Regions from separate parts of the Mus musculus genome. Here all the other regions are reported to be linked to region 1. The links are microRNA targets in miRTarBase. Many come from high-throughput screens and were not tested one by one. Region 1 holds a microRNA gene; each other region holds the end of a gene's coding sequence.

The links. The annotated mature microRNA mmu-miR-324-3p reads CCACUGCCCCAGGUGCUGCU and lies in region 1 at 3,415-3,434, shown strand. An mRNA with a match to its seed (bases 2 to 7 or 8) in the 3' UTR can be bound and repressed. Matches are read on the target gene's strand: a 7mer-m8 pairs with bases 2 to 8, a 7mer-A1 pairs with bases 2 to 7 and ends in A, and an 8mer does both.
Region 2: miRTarBase lists Zfp592 as a target of mmu-miR-324-3p. Seed matches in the 3' UTR shown: 7mer-m8 at 2,031-2,037 and 7mer-A1 at 1,347-1,353.
Region 3: miRTarBase lists Pygb as a target of mmu-miR-324-3p. The part of its 3' UTR that is shown has no 7-base or 8-base seed match.

The regions. Positions count from the first base shown.
Region 1 is chr11:70,008,681-70,014,674 of GRCm38, forward strand. It overlaps Mir324 (microRNA 324), which reads left to right and starts at 3,363; the gene lies at 3,363-3,451. Acadvl (acyl-Coenzyme A dehydrogenase, very long chain) reads right to left here. Exons shown (of 20, transcript NM_017366.3): 4 at 5,951-5,994; 5 at 5,799-5,863; 6 at 5,565-5,699; 7 at 4,754-4,898; 8 at 4,492-4,621; 9 at 4,278-4,403; 10 at 3,768-3,966; 11 at 3,506-3,610; 12 at 3,004-3,090; 13 at 2,856-2,918; 14 at 2,665-2,766; 15 at 2,488-2,585; 16 at 2,326-2,398; 17 at 2,169-2,241; 3 more. The coding sequence ends at 1,616. It overlaps Dvl2 (dishevelled segment polarity protein 2), which reads left to right. Exons shown (of 15, transcript NM_007888.4): 14 at 97-315; 15 at 464-1,429. The coding sequence ends at 912.
Region 2 is chr7:81,039,416-81,045,409 of GRCm38, reverse strand. It overlaps Zfp592 (zinc finger protein 592), which reads right to left. Exons shown (of 10, transcript NM_178707.4): 10 at 248-4,062. The coding sequence ends at 3,547. Among named protein-coding and RNA genes, the nearest start is that of Alpk3, 15 kb to the left of the region's middle.
Region 3 is chr2:150,828,448-150,834,441 of GRCm38, reverse strand. It overlaps Pygb (brain glycogen phosphorylase), which reads right to left. Exons shown (of 20, transcript NM_153781.1): 18 at 5,864-5,994; 19 at 4,748-4,814; 20 at 2,694-4,080. The coding sequence ends at 3,928. Abhd12 (abhydrolase domain containing 12) reads left to right here. Exons shown (of 13, transcript NM_024465.3): 12 at 36-163; 13 at 1,302-1,927. The coding sequence ends at 1,341. Among named protein-coding and RNA genes, the nearest start is that of Pygb, 45 kb to the right of the region's middle.

The DNA of each region.
Region 1 (5,994 bases):
TGTCTCGTGGGGAGCTCTGGGGAAATGGCTCAGGTTTCTCTGTTCTCAGGAATCCTGGCCTCCTAAAGCAGGGACCTCTCTTCCATTTTTTTCCAGACCTAGTTAACCTCTCTCTGAATGACAATGACGGTTCCAGTGGGGCTTCAGACCAGGATACCCTGGCACCTCTGCCTGGAGCTACTCCCTGGCCCCTGCTGCCCACCTTCTCCTACCAGTATCCAGCGCCACACCCCTACAGCCCCCAGCCTCCACCCTACCACGAGCTTTCTTCGTACACCTATGGTGGAGGCAGTGCCAGCAGCCAGCACAGTGAGGGTAAGTGACCCACTCCCACGTACCAGTACAGCCAGAGAAAGTGGGCACAAGTAGAGCGGATTCGGGGAGGAGAGGCAAGAGCAGGGACTGGGATCCTGAGGACTCTGGGCTGAGCTTCATTTTCCTCGTCACCTCTGCCCTCCAACAGGGAGCCGGAGCAGCGGGTCGACAAGAAGCGATGGGGGGGCTGGGCGCACAGGCAGGCCTGAGGAACGGGCCCCTGAGTCCAAGTCCGGCAGTGGCAGTGAGTCAGAACTCTCCAGCCGGGGAGGCAGCCTTCGGCGGGGTGGGGAGCCTGGTGGGACTGGTGATGGCGGCCCTCCTCCATCCAGGGGCTCGACAGGCGCTCCTCCTAATCTCCGAGCTCTTCCCGGGCTCCATCCCTATGGAGCCCCATCTGGCATGGCTCTCCCCTATAACCCCATGATGGTAGTTATGATGCCTCCACCCCCACCCCCTGTCTCCACAGCAGTGCAGCCCCCTGGTGCCCCTCCAGTCAGAGACCTGGGCTCCGTGCCCCCAGAACTGACAGCTAGCCGTCAGAGCTTCCACATGGCCATGGGCAACCCCAGTGAGTTTTTTGTGGATGTTATGTAGGGACCCATCTTGAGGCCACATTGGGTCTGTGCCCTTGGCCTGGCAAGTTTCAGCCTGGTGCCCTTCATAGTGCCTGGGCTCAGCCTGGCGGCTGGTGCCTACCAAAACGTTTTTGCCACTGTGACTCTCACCAGCAGTGCCTGGTCCTTCCCCCTCTTCCTCGGGGGTAGATGGGGACCTTTGGTTATTTTTAGCTTTATTTTTTATAAGCTTTTTGGGGGGTTAAAATAGACTTTCTTATATTTGGGGGAGTATTTTTTTAAATAGACAGTTCCTCTTTTATATGGAGAATCCCTTCTAACCCCAGAATATGACCGCCACCTCCAGGTGCCTAGTCAGCTCTCATGTTGAGGGTGGGTGGTGGTCAGTGGTACCCTGGGAAGAAGAAGGTGTGGGCTGGGTACCCCAGACAGCAGTCCAAGGAGGCTGGTGGTGTGTTGGGGACTGTGTAGCTGCCTTTGTTACTCTATTTATTTTAGTCACTTGTACAAAACACCAAATAAAGCAAATAGAGGCCAACTCCCCAAGCCTCTGGCTCCTTTCTTTGCGAGGCAGGCAGTGGAGAGGAGGGAGCAGTGACATTCACGGCAGACAGTGACTTGGTAGAAAATTTATTGTTAAGGCAATAAGTACTCCATCACCCCCATAAAGGGTTTTGGCATCAGAGAAGGCACATGACCTTGCCAGGGCCTGATTGGGAGTCTCAGATTCCCAGGGGGTTACCGGTGACCAGGCCACCATTCTCCACCATGGCCTTGGAGATGCTTCTGAAGTTCCGGAAGAGCTCCTGATGCTGAGGGCTGGACTGCAGACTGGCCATGTTTTCTCGGATCCGAGTTGCAGCCTGGGGAGAGGGAAGGGGAGGGACGGTCAGGCCGTCCTGTACTGGGGAGCTCCAAGGCCCACCTGTACTGGGGAGCTCCAAGGCTCACCTCAATGCACCAGCTATCACAGAGCATTTTCTCATGCTGTGCCGTCGGGTAGCCCTCACTCAGGGACCTTGAGGCTCTGTGAGGAAACAGAGGTTAAAATGATCCTGAGTGCTGGTGTTGGCCCAGCTCCTCTGTGGCTCTAGCCTGCCAAGCGTCCCTCGCTGCCGCCTTACCTGGACAGAACCACCACCATGGCATAGAGGTCAATGGCGCCGTCCGCCAGTCGCTGCAGCAGGAACTGCTCGTCTGTCAGGTAGATGAGGGTGGGGCTGTTAGTCGGAGGGAGGGAATCAGGGAGGGAAGGGGGTTGCAGAGCTCACTCACTGACAATCCCTTTCTTGTGTTTCACCAGCTTGGCCTCCACCACGGTGGCAAATTGATCCAGAGCCTGCACTGCCTGAAGAGACAAGAGTCACAGACAGAGCTCAGGAGAGGAAGGCAGCGCACAGCCACCGCAGGCTCTGCTTTAAGGCTCACTCACCAGTTCACCACTGCGACTTAACTCTGGGTGGACAATCCCTGACAGACTCAAACCACTGCCGATTCCTGTCCTCCTGAGAGGAGATGGAAGAGTGACTGGTCAGTTGCGGCCTCCCATCTTGTTTGACCCTGACTCTGACCCTGGCCCCGGCCCATGAGGTACCGTCTCAGCTGTTTGCCTGCTTCTCCCATCAGGAGGCCAACGTTTCCAAAAGGATTCTTCAGGGCATTGCCCAGCCCAGTGAGTTCCTTTCCTTTGTCCTGTGGAGAGAAGGGGGACGGCGACAGTGAGGACTCAGTGTCCTCCCCAGCTGCTCTCTCTCATCCTCCTTCCTCTTACCATACAGCCTTGCAGAGCCACAAACAGTCGAAGAATGTCATTTGCCCCTTCAAAGATCCGGAAGATTCGAATATCTCGGAGCACACGCTCCACCCCTGGTTCCTGGCACGCAGGAAGACACAGAAACCTCTGTTGAGATGTGCCTGTCCACTCTGAACAGATGCCCCCCCCTGCCGAGGAATACTCTGTACCTTCATGAAGCCCATGCCCCCCATTATTTGGATGCACTCATCTGCCACTTTCCAGGCCGCCTCCTGAGGACAGAGAACCAGATGAGTTGGATTTTTGAGCTGAGGTCCTAATCTGGACTCCGCCCTCCCATCACACCTGGGTCCTCACCGAGCAAAAGATTTTGCTGATGGCGGCTTCTATCTGGAAGTCTTTGAATCCCTGGTCCATGTTGGCACTCAGCATGTAAGCCATGGACTAAGGGAGCATGGTCGGGACATGGGGAAGACAACAGGGAAGGGCTGCATCAGACAGAATGGCTAATGCTCAGACCTTCAAGACCAGTGCTGATCTACTCCTCCAACCCTTGAATTCACTTTAGCCTCCTGGTCAGGTCAAATATGTCCAATATGTGACCCTCTGGTATATCAGGGGCTTCGAGGCTTCCGACTTTGTAAAGGGGTGGGTTAAAAGTCGTGTTTGGTGCATCTGGGCAGCATTTAGCAGAGCAGCACCACCCTCCAGAAGAGAACTGACTATGCCTCCTCGCATCCCCTAGGGCATTGGTGTAAAGCTGGAGACCCACTGCCCCAGGTGCTGCTGGGGGTTGTAGTCTGACCCAACTGTGAAGAAAGCCATAGGGCTCCAGGGAAGGGGCCCAGGAGGCCCTTACCTCAGTCACATACTGCAGAATAGCCATCCGAGCCAGCTTTTCCTGGATCACCCCAAAGTTGTGAATTTTGTCCCCAAACTGGGTACGATTAGTAGCATGATCAACCTGCAAGAGGGCGCATGTTACCCCACTGTGGTTCTTCAGTTTCCACCTGGACGGGCTGGAGGCCTAACTGTGCCGATGGTCGAGTGTGCATGTGTGTGTGTCGGCGCTCTGAGGCAGTCAGGGACATGTGCTAGCTAGGGACTGGGCTGGGACTCACCGCCTTGGCAATGAGGGATTTCATGGTGCCTGCGAGGGTTGCAGCCATCCCGAATCTTCCGTTGTTGAGGATGTTGACAGCAACCTTGAAGCCATCTCCCACCTCTCCTAGCACATTCTCTGATGGCACCTTCACTCCATCAAAGTACACCTCTGACGTGTTAGATGCTTTGATGCCCATCTTCTTTTCAGGGAGCCCACTGAAAAGGCAGGGCAGGAAAGTTGAGGTATGAACAGGTTGCTGTGGGGGAAAACGGCCTTTTCGGGTCTCATGATCAGGGGAGAACTCCCCAGACTATAAAAAGGATACAGGGCACTGCCTATGTGCCCCAGGGGCTACGGATATCTAGCTATGGCCTGTTAGCCTGTGTTCCCCCAGTGGAAACAAAACTGCTCACCTCCTGTGGGTGCCTCTTGTACAGAGATAGCCCCAGCGTGGCCTGTATTGACTATTTGCTCTTGAGAGCCCAGTGCTGTCCCCATCCTTGATTCTGTTTTGCCCCATACTCACTGGGTAACCCCTCCGAAGCTCCTTTCCACTACAAAAGCTGTGATCTTCTCTTTCACGGCCCCCGTGGCTGCATCTTTAATTGGCGTCTTGGCAAAGACAGTGAAAATGTCAGCCAGGCCCCCATTACTGTGGAAGAGTGAGGTGGTTAGTATAGGGTTTAGAGCAGCAGGGTCAGGCCACTGGGCTGAAGGGTAGAAGAGAAACGGAAGATTGCCTGATCCAGATCTTGCTCCCATTGAGAGTGTAATATTTTCCACAGGGGCTGGGTATGGCTGAGCTTCGGATGGAGGCTACATCGGATCCACTCGAGGGCTCTGTTAGGCAGAAAGCAGCCAAAGCCTGCCCTGTGGGGGAGAGAACGGGCTCACTGGGGATCCTGACCACCAGAGTTGCACCCCCTCATCCCCAGGCAGTTCCTTGTAACACCGTGAGCAGTGTCACACTCCTTACCCCTGGGTCTCTTAAGGTTGCCTTACCAGATGCCACTCTGGGAAGGTATTTTTCTCTCTGGGCCTTTGTGCCATAGAGCAAGATGCCTTTGAAACCGATGCTCTGATGAGCTCCCAGGGTAACGCTAACACCAAGGTCATGCATGCCCACAATCTCTGCCAAGCGAGCATACTGGAGGGAAAGGAGGCATCTGGGATTGTAGCTGGCTGCACTGAACTTGTCCTCAACAAGAATGGGCAGCAGGGCAGACCTGGCCTGGGGCTTGGAGCATCTCTACTCTGAGCATGGGGAGTGGAGTGGGTTTGGACAGGGCACAGGGAGGCTGGCCATGGGGCTCCCAGGTAGGCTGCTTCTCTAGCATGAAACCCTGGAGTCTTTCCTAAGGAGACAGGAGCAGGAACATCAAAGGGCTTAGATAATCCCCCCCCCCCCTTTTGAGGCAGTTTCATTTTGTAGCTCCAGCTAGCCTGAAACTTTGTGGGTTTCCCTGACTGTCCTGAAACTCCCTCTGTAGACCATGCTGGCCTTGAACTCGAGATCCGCCCGCCTCTGCCTCCATCCTCCATGCTGGGATTAAAGATGAGTGCCACTGTGCCCAGCTGCCCTTGGTCTTGATGGGAAGGTTGCCTGCTGTGTTGCCTCACACAGTCCCCAAAGACCTGGGAACCACAGTTAGGTCCACGGTCCTAGTGGGCTGCACACAGATCATGTTTCAGGGGAAAATGTGTGAGAAAAAGGGCAGGCAGGTAGACACTACTCTGGCTACTTGCTTGGCCCTAGTGGTGAGTCTACCAAAACTGGAGCACTGTGGAATGTTAACCAGGGGGATCCTCTCACCTGGGTATTAGAGAGGCCCAAACCACCCAGCTCGCTGGGTACTTGCAGGCCAAATGCCCCCAGTTCCTTGAGTCCCTGCAAAGTGTCGTCCTCCACCTTCTCCAAGGCGTCGTTCTTGGCAGGGTCATTCACTTCCTGAGCAAGGAATAGGAAGAATCTCATATTCAGAGGCTCCTTTAAGCTCCTTAGCATCTTACTTAGCCCAGGAGGGGCTGAGCTCTGGTCATCCCTTACCTCAAAGAACCGGGCCACTGGTCCCACCAGCTCTTTGAGAAATTGTGCCTGTTCTTCACTGAGCACTGTATAATGGGAGAGAAGAGCAGGCTAGTCAGGCAGAGAGGGCTCCCCTGCCCACACTGTCAGTGACTGACTAAGCCTTTACTTACCAGATGGGTATGGGAACACCTGATCAATGGTAAGCTGGCCTTTG
Region 2 (5,994 bases), not on the chromosome of region 1:
GTCGACGAAGGTGAGCGGCAGTCTTGGAGACGACAAAGGACATATTCTAGGATGTAGAAGATCTAATCTTGGTCAGGTCAGCCCAAGAGCTCTGTGGTTATATTACAAATTGTGCTCGGTGTGTTCATTCATGCCCATTCATACTCTCAGCCATACACCTGGAGGAAGCCTTTAAAGAGTTACACTGAGCCAACCTCTACAACACTGCGTAAGTGGGAAAAAAGCAGGCTTCAGAACATGACGGATAGAATGCTACTGTTTGTATTAAAAATAGATATATAAATATACATATTTATAAACTCATAAATGCATAGAATTGCTCTGAAAGGATACACAAGGTAGAGATAACAATGAGGAACTCTGGCAAGGGCACTGGAAGCTGACCTCCACCAAGAACTTTACTTTTTATTGTATGTTCATTTGTACTGTTGAATGCCTTATGTTGTCAAATGTATATGTATCTATTTTTCCAAACCCCCCCAAAAAAAGTTTTTTAAATTACCTGGTGTTGAATGTACAATGGTATACAGGACAGAAGTTCCTCAGCCTAGGGCAAGGCAAAATGTGGGAATTCTAAGGTGGGCCACAACACAACCATTAAATTTTTAAAACCCAGACTGTTTACATAAGAGGCAAATTCTTTACAACAATTAGTCCACGGAAATTCAGCATATCATTTTACAGAGACAAAGCAGTTAGAGAGTAAATACTAGTCATTTGTCAAGCCTCAGGGTATCCAGATGGGTAGCTTCTAGAGGGTAGCAGATCTAAGCTAGCTTGGTCAGGAGAGCATCCGCTGCAGGGGAAGTATCTGTTACAGCAAGCATCCTCGGATGACCGACAGTGTACTAAAACACTGTCCTGAGCAATCAGGAGATACTGACTCGAAGGGAACCGTGTGTTCCCCAGACATTAGGTAACCTCTTCTAAAGAGTGCTCCAGAAATGATGGCTCTTCATATGGAAAGTAAACCCCAGTGAGAGACGACATCAGGGACACCGCATGTGCAAACGCAGGGCCCTCCTTGGGGTGACAAGGCACTGGAGGATCTGACATTAAGGGGCACCCTGCCTTTTTTGGGAACTAGAAGGGTGGGCTTTGGATGGCTCCACACTGCTGACAGGCTGGCTGCAGCCAGAGCAGCCCTGTCACTAAGGCAGCACAGGTTTGACTCAGCACCGTCATCACAGGTAGCCCAATATGTCTGTCATTTAACCTAAGGCTGGTTTTTTGCCTCTGTAAAATAGAAGGGTAGCTGAGATCCTTGTGATGATGAAGTGAAAGTCTCTGGTAAGAGTTAAACAAGATGCTGGACCTGAGGAGGGCTGGGAATGCGATCTTCATCATCACTGCATAATGGATAAGCAAACGGGCCCCGTTCCTAACTGAACCCCACATCCAGTGAGATGAGCTCCACCTCACTGTGTCTACAAGTGCAGAAGCCCCTAGCCACATGGTAGCCTGGAACCTAGAGCGCTTGCGCACTCATGACCTCAGGAAAGTCTTGAAGTAGCTGGATGAGGATTCCTACCTCTGCTGAGAGAGGAGCCCATGAGGATGAGGGTGCTAGGGACTGGCTGAGGGCAGCACAGGTTTCCCACAGCAGGTCCTATTCTACTATTCCAAGAGGCTGGATCTGATATGAGGACAGTGGCTCCACCCTTAGTTTCTCCACCTTCTTTGTTCTCCAGCTCCCATGGTTTCTGAGTGGGAAGAAATGCAGCCATACAGCTCAAAGCCCTCCTTAAGAACCTGCTCTCATGAACGATCTGGGGTACAATGTTGGGTAATCTCCCACATGGGGGAGATTAGCATGAGGTGAAGGACTGACGGGATCTGAAGAGAAAGCAGGGTATGTGAAGGAACTGGGAAAGGGGCAGTGGCTGGCTTGGGACCCGCTCAGTAGGGCTTGCTTCCCTTCACTGTCAGCTGGGGAAGCAGAGAAGTGGAGGCCTTGCCAGAAAGAATGCTCATTAAAATGGTGTGTACAGCAGAGCCTCTCTGGAACCGAGGCAAGCACTAACTTTTCCCACTGCCACTAGCTTTTCACTAAAAATTTGGCATTTGATAGAGCAAGGAAAAAAAAAGTCTTCAGTTGTGAAAAGGTCATGCATATTTATCCAACTTGATTCCTAATTGGTATTCATGCCTCCCTTGAAAGATCAAGCCTAGGAACTCAGCCAGCACCCCTTCCCTGTGCTACAGGACCTAGCCCGAGCCTGTTGGGTCCAAGAACACCTTCCCACAACTTGTCCCAGTCTCATCTAATCCCATTTCTACCAAGTCTGGATTTGCTGTGGCAATAGCAGTCTCTGAATGTTGTATGAATGTCACAGAATTCCTTCTCCTCGTTCCTCACCAAGAATCTCTTGGGTTGAAAACCCTTCGATGGAAAGATGTCCAGAGAATATCAATAGACCTTAAGGCTAATGCTGCCAGGCCAGTCCTTGGAGGTGGCTCTTGACCAGTACTGACACCCCACCACACCACCCTGCTCCTTTAGAACTCTCCAGAGAACCAAGATGTATAGGACTCCTGCTTTCCCAAGCACAAGCCCCAGAACCTAGAGCTCCCGTGGGCAGCAGGAAATGCTGTTTTGCTTCAGATGGGGCAGTCAGGGCTGTCTGGGAAGAGTCTCAGGTGGAGCAGGGAAGGGCTAGCTCACCAGAAGAGGAATACAAGAGCCTACCTGCATGGTAAGATTTTTTTTTATTGAAATATAGTCTGAGCAACAAGAGTGTAGCCGAGAGGAGGAGCTGGCCTTCCTGAGGCAGCAGCAGCTCTAATGGCACAGGAACAAAAATACAAATACCCCAATATCTGTGTGCCACACACCCCACCTGTCAGGGATTGCAGGACAGCAGCAGAAGGAAAACCCACCACAGCCCCAAAGAGGATCTGGCTCTTGGCACCTGCCTGCCTTGGCCATACTTCGTGCTTCTCTCAGGTCGAAACAGGAGTGTACTGCCATTTTTCCCACCCACAGAGACATGATCAGAGTGACAGGTGAAGTCCTCAGGATGATTCTGGGAAAAAGAATCAGAGAAAGAAGACAGGAAGGAAAGGGTGAACAAGGGACCTCACCAAGCCAAGCTGGGCAGAGTTCCCAGAGGAATGGCCAGCACCCTTCATTTCCCTCCTTCTTGGGCTCTGAAGGCAGGAAGGAGAACTCTGCGGTGTCTCCCGATGAACACTGCAGGTAGGAAGCCCAGAGCACAGCTACTGAGGGGTTGCACACTGAGCTGACACACAGCACTGGGGCTGTACTACCTAAGTAGCCTGGGGCTGGAAGGACATGGATGAGAATTGGGGTATCAATAAGCAGCATTAAGCCATAAATAACAGAAGCAAATTCAGAGCTGTGAAGAATTCTGGGTGACCCCACATTTTGGGGGGCTGGGAGATATCCAGAACCCACAGCTCAGAATAGACACTGCTCCAGAGCACAGTGGCCACACAAACACTGCGACAGAGCTCTTTATTTCCCACGGTCTGCACAGCAGCTGGAGGGTACCACAGCCCGACTGATGGCTACAAAGCCTCTGGTCACACCTGAGGAGATAGTGCATGGCTGTTCTGGTCCTGAGAGGCCTGTGGTTGATTCTGAGGGTCTTGGGCACTGTCTTCATCCAGAGCCAGACCTTGCTGACCTCCTAGGTCAGTAACCAAAGGCTCACTGGCACATTCTTCCAGTCCATTCTCTTTCGTCTCCATGGCTACCTCCTCTCCAGAGCATGCCTCGGAGTCTGGGGCTTCCACCTTCACCTCCACAATGTCTTCTCCCCCCTCTTCCTGGTCTCTCACTTTGTGGACTATGAACAGGTGGCGGTTGAGGGAGCTGGTAGATGTGTAGCACAAGCCACAGAGAAGACACTGGGCTGTGGAGCTGTCCACCTGGTGCTGAGGTATGTGGCTCTGGAACTCAAGTTCCGAGTCTGTGGCGAAGGTGCACTTTGCACACTGAAACAGGGACTTGTGCCTTTTGGTGGAGGAAACAGTCGCACCATTGCTAGTGCCTGGAGCGTCTGCCATTCTGCTGACAGGTCTTTTCAGATGGTTCACCTGGAAGACAAGTGTGAGCAGAGATGAAGCCAAGCTCACATGCACTTTCTGCTCATCAAGTGCCAGGAACTCAGGCGGAGGTCAGAAGACAACTTTTGGGGAGTCATTTTTTCTCCCTCCTCTGTAGGTTCTAGGGACAGAAGTATTCGCTTTCTTTCATGTGTAAGTGTTTTACCTGCGTGTATGCATGTATACCATGTGCATGCTTGGTGCCTGAGAAGGTCAAAAGAGAGTACTGGATTCTCTAGAACTGCACTTGTGGGTAGTTCTGAACCACCATGTGGGTGCTAGGAATCTAATCGGGTCCTTTCACAGCCACAGGACGAGTTCTTAACTGCTGGGGCAGTTCTCTGGCCCCAATCCTTCCCTTTCAGTGTTCTGTACTCACGCTTAACAGAAAGGTAAAAGGAGTCTCCCCTAACCTACTCCTCAGGTCTGTTCAGAATGGATCACCTGCTAAGCTTAGTCTTTGTCAGCTGGGTCACCTGGGTAGAGGGAAAATGCCTCCTTCAGGCTGACCTACAGATAAGTCTGCAGGGCGTTTTCTTAGACTGACCTTAGATTAGATTTCATTAGACTTGACATGGAAGGTCCCAGCTCACTGTGGGTGGTGTTAACCCTGTGCAGGTGTTCTGAACTATCTAATAAAGCAAGCTTACTAAGATCTAGAAAGCCAGCCAGTAAGCAGTGCTCCTCAGGTTCCTGCCTTCAATTTTGGCCCTGATCTCCCTCCATGACGGACTATAAACTGTAAGCTGCAATAAAGTCTCTCCTCTCCAAATTGTTTTTGCCCAAAGTCTTTATCACACCAATAAGAGAATAAACTAGGAATCCTGGGTTTTATAATTCCTCCAAGAAACATCTCATGCATGCTTAGATACAAGAAGAAGGCTGTGAACTGACTGCACGTCATTGCTTTTGTGCACGTCTCTCATCCTACACTCATACTTGATAGCGTACTGGAACCCATCCCCATGTGAGCAAACACTGAGGCTTCTTTCTGCCCTGGCAGCAGCACACTGACCTACTGTAGGCTGACAGCGTCCTCCAGCAGATACCCAAGTTTCTCTTTGTCACTGAACACACCGCTATGCCTAATGCCCAAAGCTCTCTAATCGAAAAGTCCTAGGGCAGAACTGCTGTGTTGAAGGGCATGCCTGTTCTCATGTATTGGTGCTGAGAAAAAAGAAAAAAGGGAAGAAAGAAAGAAAGAAAGAAAGAAAGAAAGAAAGAAAGAAAGAAAGAAAGGAAGAAAGAAAGAAAAAGAAAGAAGGAAAGAAACTGACATTCTACCTACTCTGTGTGCAAAGGCTTCTACTAGCTAGCACCATTTCCTGAATGGCCAAAAAGTTTCAAGACAGCCCATGGCCTCCAGGTAGCTCTAACCTCCTGAGTCCTTCTCAGAGCACTTGGCCCTGTGCCATGATGGGGGGAGAATCTGCAGCACAGGGCACCAGGCTGCTCTAGAAGCTGACTGGAGTCAGGAAAGGAGCATGCAACAGGAATGAGGAAGAAAGCAGTGACTGGCCAGCTAGCCGAGCAGAGAGGGGTCGAGACTGGATTCTTTCCACAGCTACTGCCACAGAGAAGTAATAATCCTTCCTTGACAGGGCAGCTCTGCCTGCTGCCTGCCTGCTTGCCTGCTGCCTGCCTGCCTGCCTGCCTGTTGTCTGCCTGCCTGCCTGCCTGCCTGCTGCCTGCTTGTGTGCTGCCTGCCTGCCTGCCTGCTGCCTGCTTGCCTGCTGCCTGCCTGCCTGCCTGCTGCCTGCTTGCCTGCTGCCTGCCTGCCTGCCTGCCTGTTGTCTGCCTGCTGTCTGTCTGCCTGCCTGCCTGCCTGCCTGAGTGGATTTTAAGGAAGCAGAAGTCAGGTTACAGCAGCAAAAGATTTTCCTATAGATCTTTGCTTGTTTCCTTCTTATGTTCAGGGCTCTA
Region 3 (5,994 bases), not on the chromosome of region 1:
GGGCTCTAGGCTGATTCCTCTCTCCCTCTCACCAGCTATACAACATTGCTGCACCATCTCGGAGTTTCCGAGACTTCAAAGTCCAGTTTATCCCCTTTCACTCAGACCTTGGCTACAGACATAAATACATCTACAAGAGCCCAGAGCTTCCAAGGATACTGAGGTGAGACATTCTCTTCTAACCCTTGAGCCTCTCTGGACAGCTAGCCTCACACCTAGCTGTGCAGCAAGTGACAGTCACTGAAGCCATTTGAGCCGCTCAGAAGTGTGCTGCAGGGTCAGTGATTCAAGGGCCTTCCACCAACACCATGTAGACGTTACAACGTTTGTTCTCCTTTCTTCTGGATAATATGATCAGATGGGGCATATGGTCTTCCGGTACACATCGCACAAACGCACATGAGCACACGAATAGGGGAGTACCTAACAGTGTGCACATGTACCATCCTTACTCAGGCTGCCATGTGTGTGCAGAGTGTGCAAGCATCCTGGGGGCCTTTGAGTGCACATGCACCACTCCCAGTACATGGAAGGCTTCATATGTACAGGAGTACAGGATACAGCTTCCTAAAGGGAGGCCCTGTTTCTGGCTACTACACACTAGTCACTCTTGGACAAGATGTAGGCTGCAGCCCAGAACCAAAGTATGAGTGTGGAGTAGCAAGGATCAGTTTCTGACTGGCCTCCCATGTGGCCATCCTCCATGCTCCTACATAGATTTCCCCATAGCATCACCTAGCTCCTTGTCAGATGACCCAGGCTCCACTCGCCACCACTCAGCAGTCCAACCCTCCCTGCCCACCATACTGGGGCTGCTGTGCAGCACATGAACCCAGAGCACTGGGCTACTTGTTGAGCACTGTTGCTGCTGAAAGGAGTCCGCTGTTCATGCTGGTAGGCTTGAGAAGTGGGCTAAGGGCCAGTTATTCCCAACCTGTGACTAAAACTGGTTGCTTAAATTATCTCCCAAAGAGCAATATCCTGTGTAGTCCAGACCCTAGATCCTTAGAAATTCCAGAAGCAAAGCTACATTACAGTAAAGGCTGCTATTTGGGGCAGGGAGCTGAATAAGTTCTGTTTAGAATTGACATCTTTCCCCTCCCCATTCCCAGCCTTGCCTGGGATTTGACCTGGGAGCTGCAGTGTTCTTCCTGCCTCACTCCGAGGGCCTTCTTGTCAGGTGGCCCGGAGCCCTAGATTCTTTGCTGCCTCTACCACCTAAGGCAGCCACTTGAGGACTGTGGGAGTGTGCTCTTAGGTCCAAACACAGTTTCACTTAGGCTTACCCTTCTCTGGTCTAGGGAATTCCTAGGGAAGTCGGAACCGGAACGCCAGCACTGAGACTGGCCCATGAAGGAGCATGAAGACCCACCTTCCTTCCTTCTCCCCTGGACAGCAGCCTGGCACCCCGAAGCCCAGAGTGCCACCACCTGTGGTGCTCAGGAGCCCAGTGCACACCTAGAAAGAGGACTCAGACACAGCGGGCAGAGGCTCCTGATGGACCTGTGAGGAAAGCCCGGTGGCAGGCAGGTGGCCCCCCCAGCCCTCTGGTGACCACTGTATCTGAGCTCTTTTTGGGAAGGCTTATAGACAGCAGGTGGACCCCATATGCTGGGCATAGGGAGCCTGGGAAGGGCTCAGGAGCTCAGGACCACTCCAGGCTCTCTGGCACCATTGCTTAAGATTCAGGAAAATGGTTCTTTCTGCCCTTCCTAGCGTTTACAGAACAGACTCCAAGTGGTTCAGTTTGTCTCCTACAGCTCATTTACCTGCTTGCCTTCCTCAGCTGTCCCTGCCTCTCCTGGCATCTGATTACCCACAGTAAGGGGCACCTGGATCTGCACTTCTTCCATTCTGCCCACCTGTCTGTCACCTAACCTGGCCGTAGACTGAGCATTTATTTAAGAATAAAATCTCGGTGGTGGTCTATTTATTGTTTTCTCTACAAAGCAGGAATCAGAGTTTCTTCCTTTGCTACCCCTCACAGCTCTGTTCCTGACCCCTGCCCCAGACACAATCCCCACAGAAGTCAAAGATCTGCCCCCAACTCTTCAGGCACTGGGTTCTGCTCTGAACGGAGGCACCTACTCCTAAAAGGCAGGCCTAGACAAAGAGCCCACATGACCACGCTACGCAGGAACATTGGCATGGCCAACACAGAAGCACTGATCTTCCAGAGGATATGAGCCGTATAACCAGGACCTGGGAACCGGCCAGACTCATTTCACCAGTGTCTTGGTCCAAGTGTGTTTGGCCTTTTGTCAAAGCAGCCTGACCTAAAGCTGTCCACCTGCAGACTAAGCAGGGCTGAGAAGTTAGAGCACAAGGCGTAGCAAGACCTGACATGAGGAGCAGCCGTGGGCTAGTTAAAGGACCCATGTCTGGAACTCATGCTCACCCACAGCAAAGTATCATAGCGCCGGCTCCCTAAGTGATCCTCACGACACGGGAAACAGGCCTTCCCTGCCTCACTCTAGGCCAGGGATTTAGCTTTACTGAACCCAGCCCGTGGTACCCACCATCAGGGTCCTTGTATAAACTGGTCTGTGCCAGCAACTTGCGCCTGGCTACAAAGGGACAACTGCAGCCTATTCCACAGGGTGACTATCCAGGCTTATATCCTCTAGCCTCTCGAGGGAGTTACCTGAAACTGTATGTCATGGTGGAAATGCAGATACCACAGTGACCAACCATAGGCATAGAAGTTTAATCCATTTCTCATACAAGGAGGTAATAGCAAGTAGTAGAAGGGTGGTCATGTATTGCGGCTTCAGGGGACCTCATGCACAGGGCAGCAGATGACCAGCCCTAGAACCTGCCCACCCACCCCCACAAGCTACCACAGTGGCTCCGGTGATTTAAGTCCTGAAAAGACACTTCCCAGCAAATGCTCCCATGGTGGGGAAAGCGAGGGGTTCTCCTGCCCACCCCCAACCAGATAGAGCAGTGCAAGGTGGTGAAGCCTCTGGAAGGATAGTTTTATGTGGTTTCTATGACAACGCACTCTCCTTTGGGCGGCACTTAATGTAGATTCTGCCCTCTGAGGAGCACAGCTCCTGTGGTGGGTCCTCACCATGCTGCTGTAGCAGAGTGGAGTGTACACTGGACCCTCTGCAGGGCCAGCAGCTTAGTCGTCAGCCTAGCAGAAATATCCACACTGACCAAGTTCAAGGTTTACTTGCTAAAAAGGAAGGCTTAGCTAGTTTCAGTTCCTCCTGAAGTGTTATTTCCTGTTGAAAAAGCAAAGAACTAAACCAACCCTCTATAAAATTGCCAGTCCTCAACCAAGGTCTCAGTTACGGGATAAAGGTCTCTCTCTCTTCAGTGCTCCTCTCCAGGGGTTCTGGGTTCTACTTGACACCCACAGGGTTCCACAGATGGCTAGAGGCATGGCCTATATGGGTCAACCACCCACATACTCAGTACAGTCAAGGGCAAAGGACAGGAAGCTGTGAGCATGAAGCCTGAAGCAAAGGTTCTACCCAGCAGGCCAACAAGACCACACACTGGGGCTGGCTGTACCCTATGGCTGGTGACCCAGGTACTAGCAGAACATAGGAACACTGGCTACCACAGATCCCTATTCACACCCCAAACTAAAGGCTTAAGCTCACTCAGCTACGTGCAGGATTTCAGGGGCTCAGCTCCACTCCCTCCCTGCTCGGCCTCTGGGGATGATGATGGGCTGAAGCTGTGGGGACCATCTCTGCCCATCTGTGCTGTGAACTCTGCAACAGTTCTTCTGTAAGAAGCCAGGAGGATGCCACGCCTTCTTCCTCATCCAGGTCCTCAAAACCATTCCCATGGTCCTTCCTGGAAGCATGGCACTTCGGATAGCAGGGACCAGCGGCTGCTTGCAGTGCCTGAAGACTGGCGTGGGCACAGTCAGCTAAGCAAGCCACTGCTCTCACTGTGTGGGATAATTAATTAGTCCTTGGGGAGGTTGGGGGGTGGGATCTGCAGGTCAGAGGGCTCCACACCCCAGATCTCCCGGGCGTATTCAGTGATGGTCCGGTCACTGGAGAACTTGCCAGAGCAGGCTATATTCCTGATCACCTTTTTAGTCCACTCCTTGGAATTCTGTGAAGGGAAAAACAGACTGATTAGCATTTGGCAGAGCTAAGGGATCCTAGGAGCCCAAGCCTTCAGAGCATGATGACATTAACAGATAAACTCTGAGCCTTGGGGCAGCCTGTGGTAGAAGAGACTGCAGCCATGTGCTCACAGAAAAGCCCTCACTTGGCCAGAAGAGACACACTGGATTAAGGGACCGGTTGCTTAAGACAGGATTACTGTTTTGTCTTCTAGAGGCTCCTAAGGCATGGCTCGCAACATTAAGCCAAGAGCACAAACTGGTGAGCAACTGCCACAGGCAGACCCAGTGTCCAAAAATGACTAAGCACTCCCTTGTAAGACTTCAGCTTCATTACAGCTTGCTCTAGAACTTCAAAACTGTCCCCGGACTGGAGGCTCCAGACGTCAATGGAAGGAGCCTTCTAGGAAGATCTTGATTCTCGTGGGCCAGACCCGTGGGTGATATTTTCAGGTTCCTTATTCTAGTTTTGACTATCAGAAAAGGTTTTCCTCATGACACCTAATGCCCGGAGAGCTGACCTAGAAACAGGCTGGACAGACTGATATCAGAGCAGCCCACCCCTCTGGTCTCAACCATGGGTTGAGAAGTGGTCTAACCCCCAAACAGATCCACACAGACCTAGCCAAACACATCTAGGCCCACAAGCCTTACCCGGTATAGACGGTCCACCTGGGCCTGGCATTGGATGTAGGCTTCATAGTCTGCAAATACCTTGAATCTGAAACAGGAGTAGGAGGCTGGGTCAGGGCAGGATGTGCAGTGGGTAAGGAGCCCAGCCTAGAATGCCTGTCCTCTGGTATTTCCCAGAGGACAATTTCCCAGCCAGTTGATTGGCCCAAACTAATGCCGTTCATATCCTCCCAGCTCTGTTGGGGGCCAAAGTGGAGACTATTCTGCCTGTGGGTACCAGGCTGTACTAAGTCCACAGGCTTCTCTGAGAGTCCTTAGGTTCTGGAGGTGCTTTTTAGAAAGTCTGGTTTCACCAATTTCTTTTAAGGAAATTGTCATTTCCAAAATAGGTGTTAGAAGTGCACAACCCAAACGGCAAGCCCACGGTGCATTTTATTTTATTATCTAGGCAGAGGCATGACTCACTATTTAAAAGTCCCTCATCGTAGCCTCCAACAGGGTCCCACTCTGTGCTGTGCATCTAGTCTGAAGCCAGTGGGCAGCACTGGCTTTAAAGAACCTTAAAGACAGGTTCACCAGAGCAATCCAAAGTGGAGAGGTTAACACCAGATTCAACTTTTACCAGCAGGGTAAACACTACCCCGAGGCACCAGTGTCTTTGTAGACCTGCCATCTAACTAGGTTGGGTATAACCATGCCATGTTTAACGATATACCTCAAACACTGACTACATTGTAAGTTTGCAATGAGACAAACTGACTCCATTTTTACCAGGGAATGTCCCTGAGACTAACACTTATCATAGATAACCTCCCTGCCATCACATAGAGGGTGCACTCCTGAGCACCCTCTGCTGGTCTGCAACAGCCCAGGGGACAGAGCTCCGCCTTGTTCACACCTATGAGGACTGGGGGCTGGGTGGTCCAAGGTCCCCGAGGTATCACTAGAAGCCACTGCAGATGTGGCTGTGAGTCTGGCTGTGGTAAGGTCTCCTGGACTGAGGCGGAGAGAAGATTATAAAACCAGATCTGACCCTCATAACATGGAGTTTTCAGCCCACCAGGAGAGTTCAGCTGTCTCAGTAGTGGGGACTAGTGGCCAACTTGGAAAGCCAAAGTAATAGAGGTTGTCTCCTACCTGTCGTGGTACATCAGCATGTTAACCACGTCCTTGAAGCAGTCTGGATCTTTGGGAGAAAAGAAGCCACTGCTGATCTGATCCACAGCCTGCCTCAGCTCAGGCAGGCGCTCATAGAATTCTCTGGCATT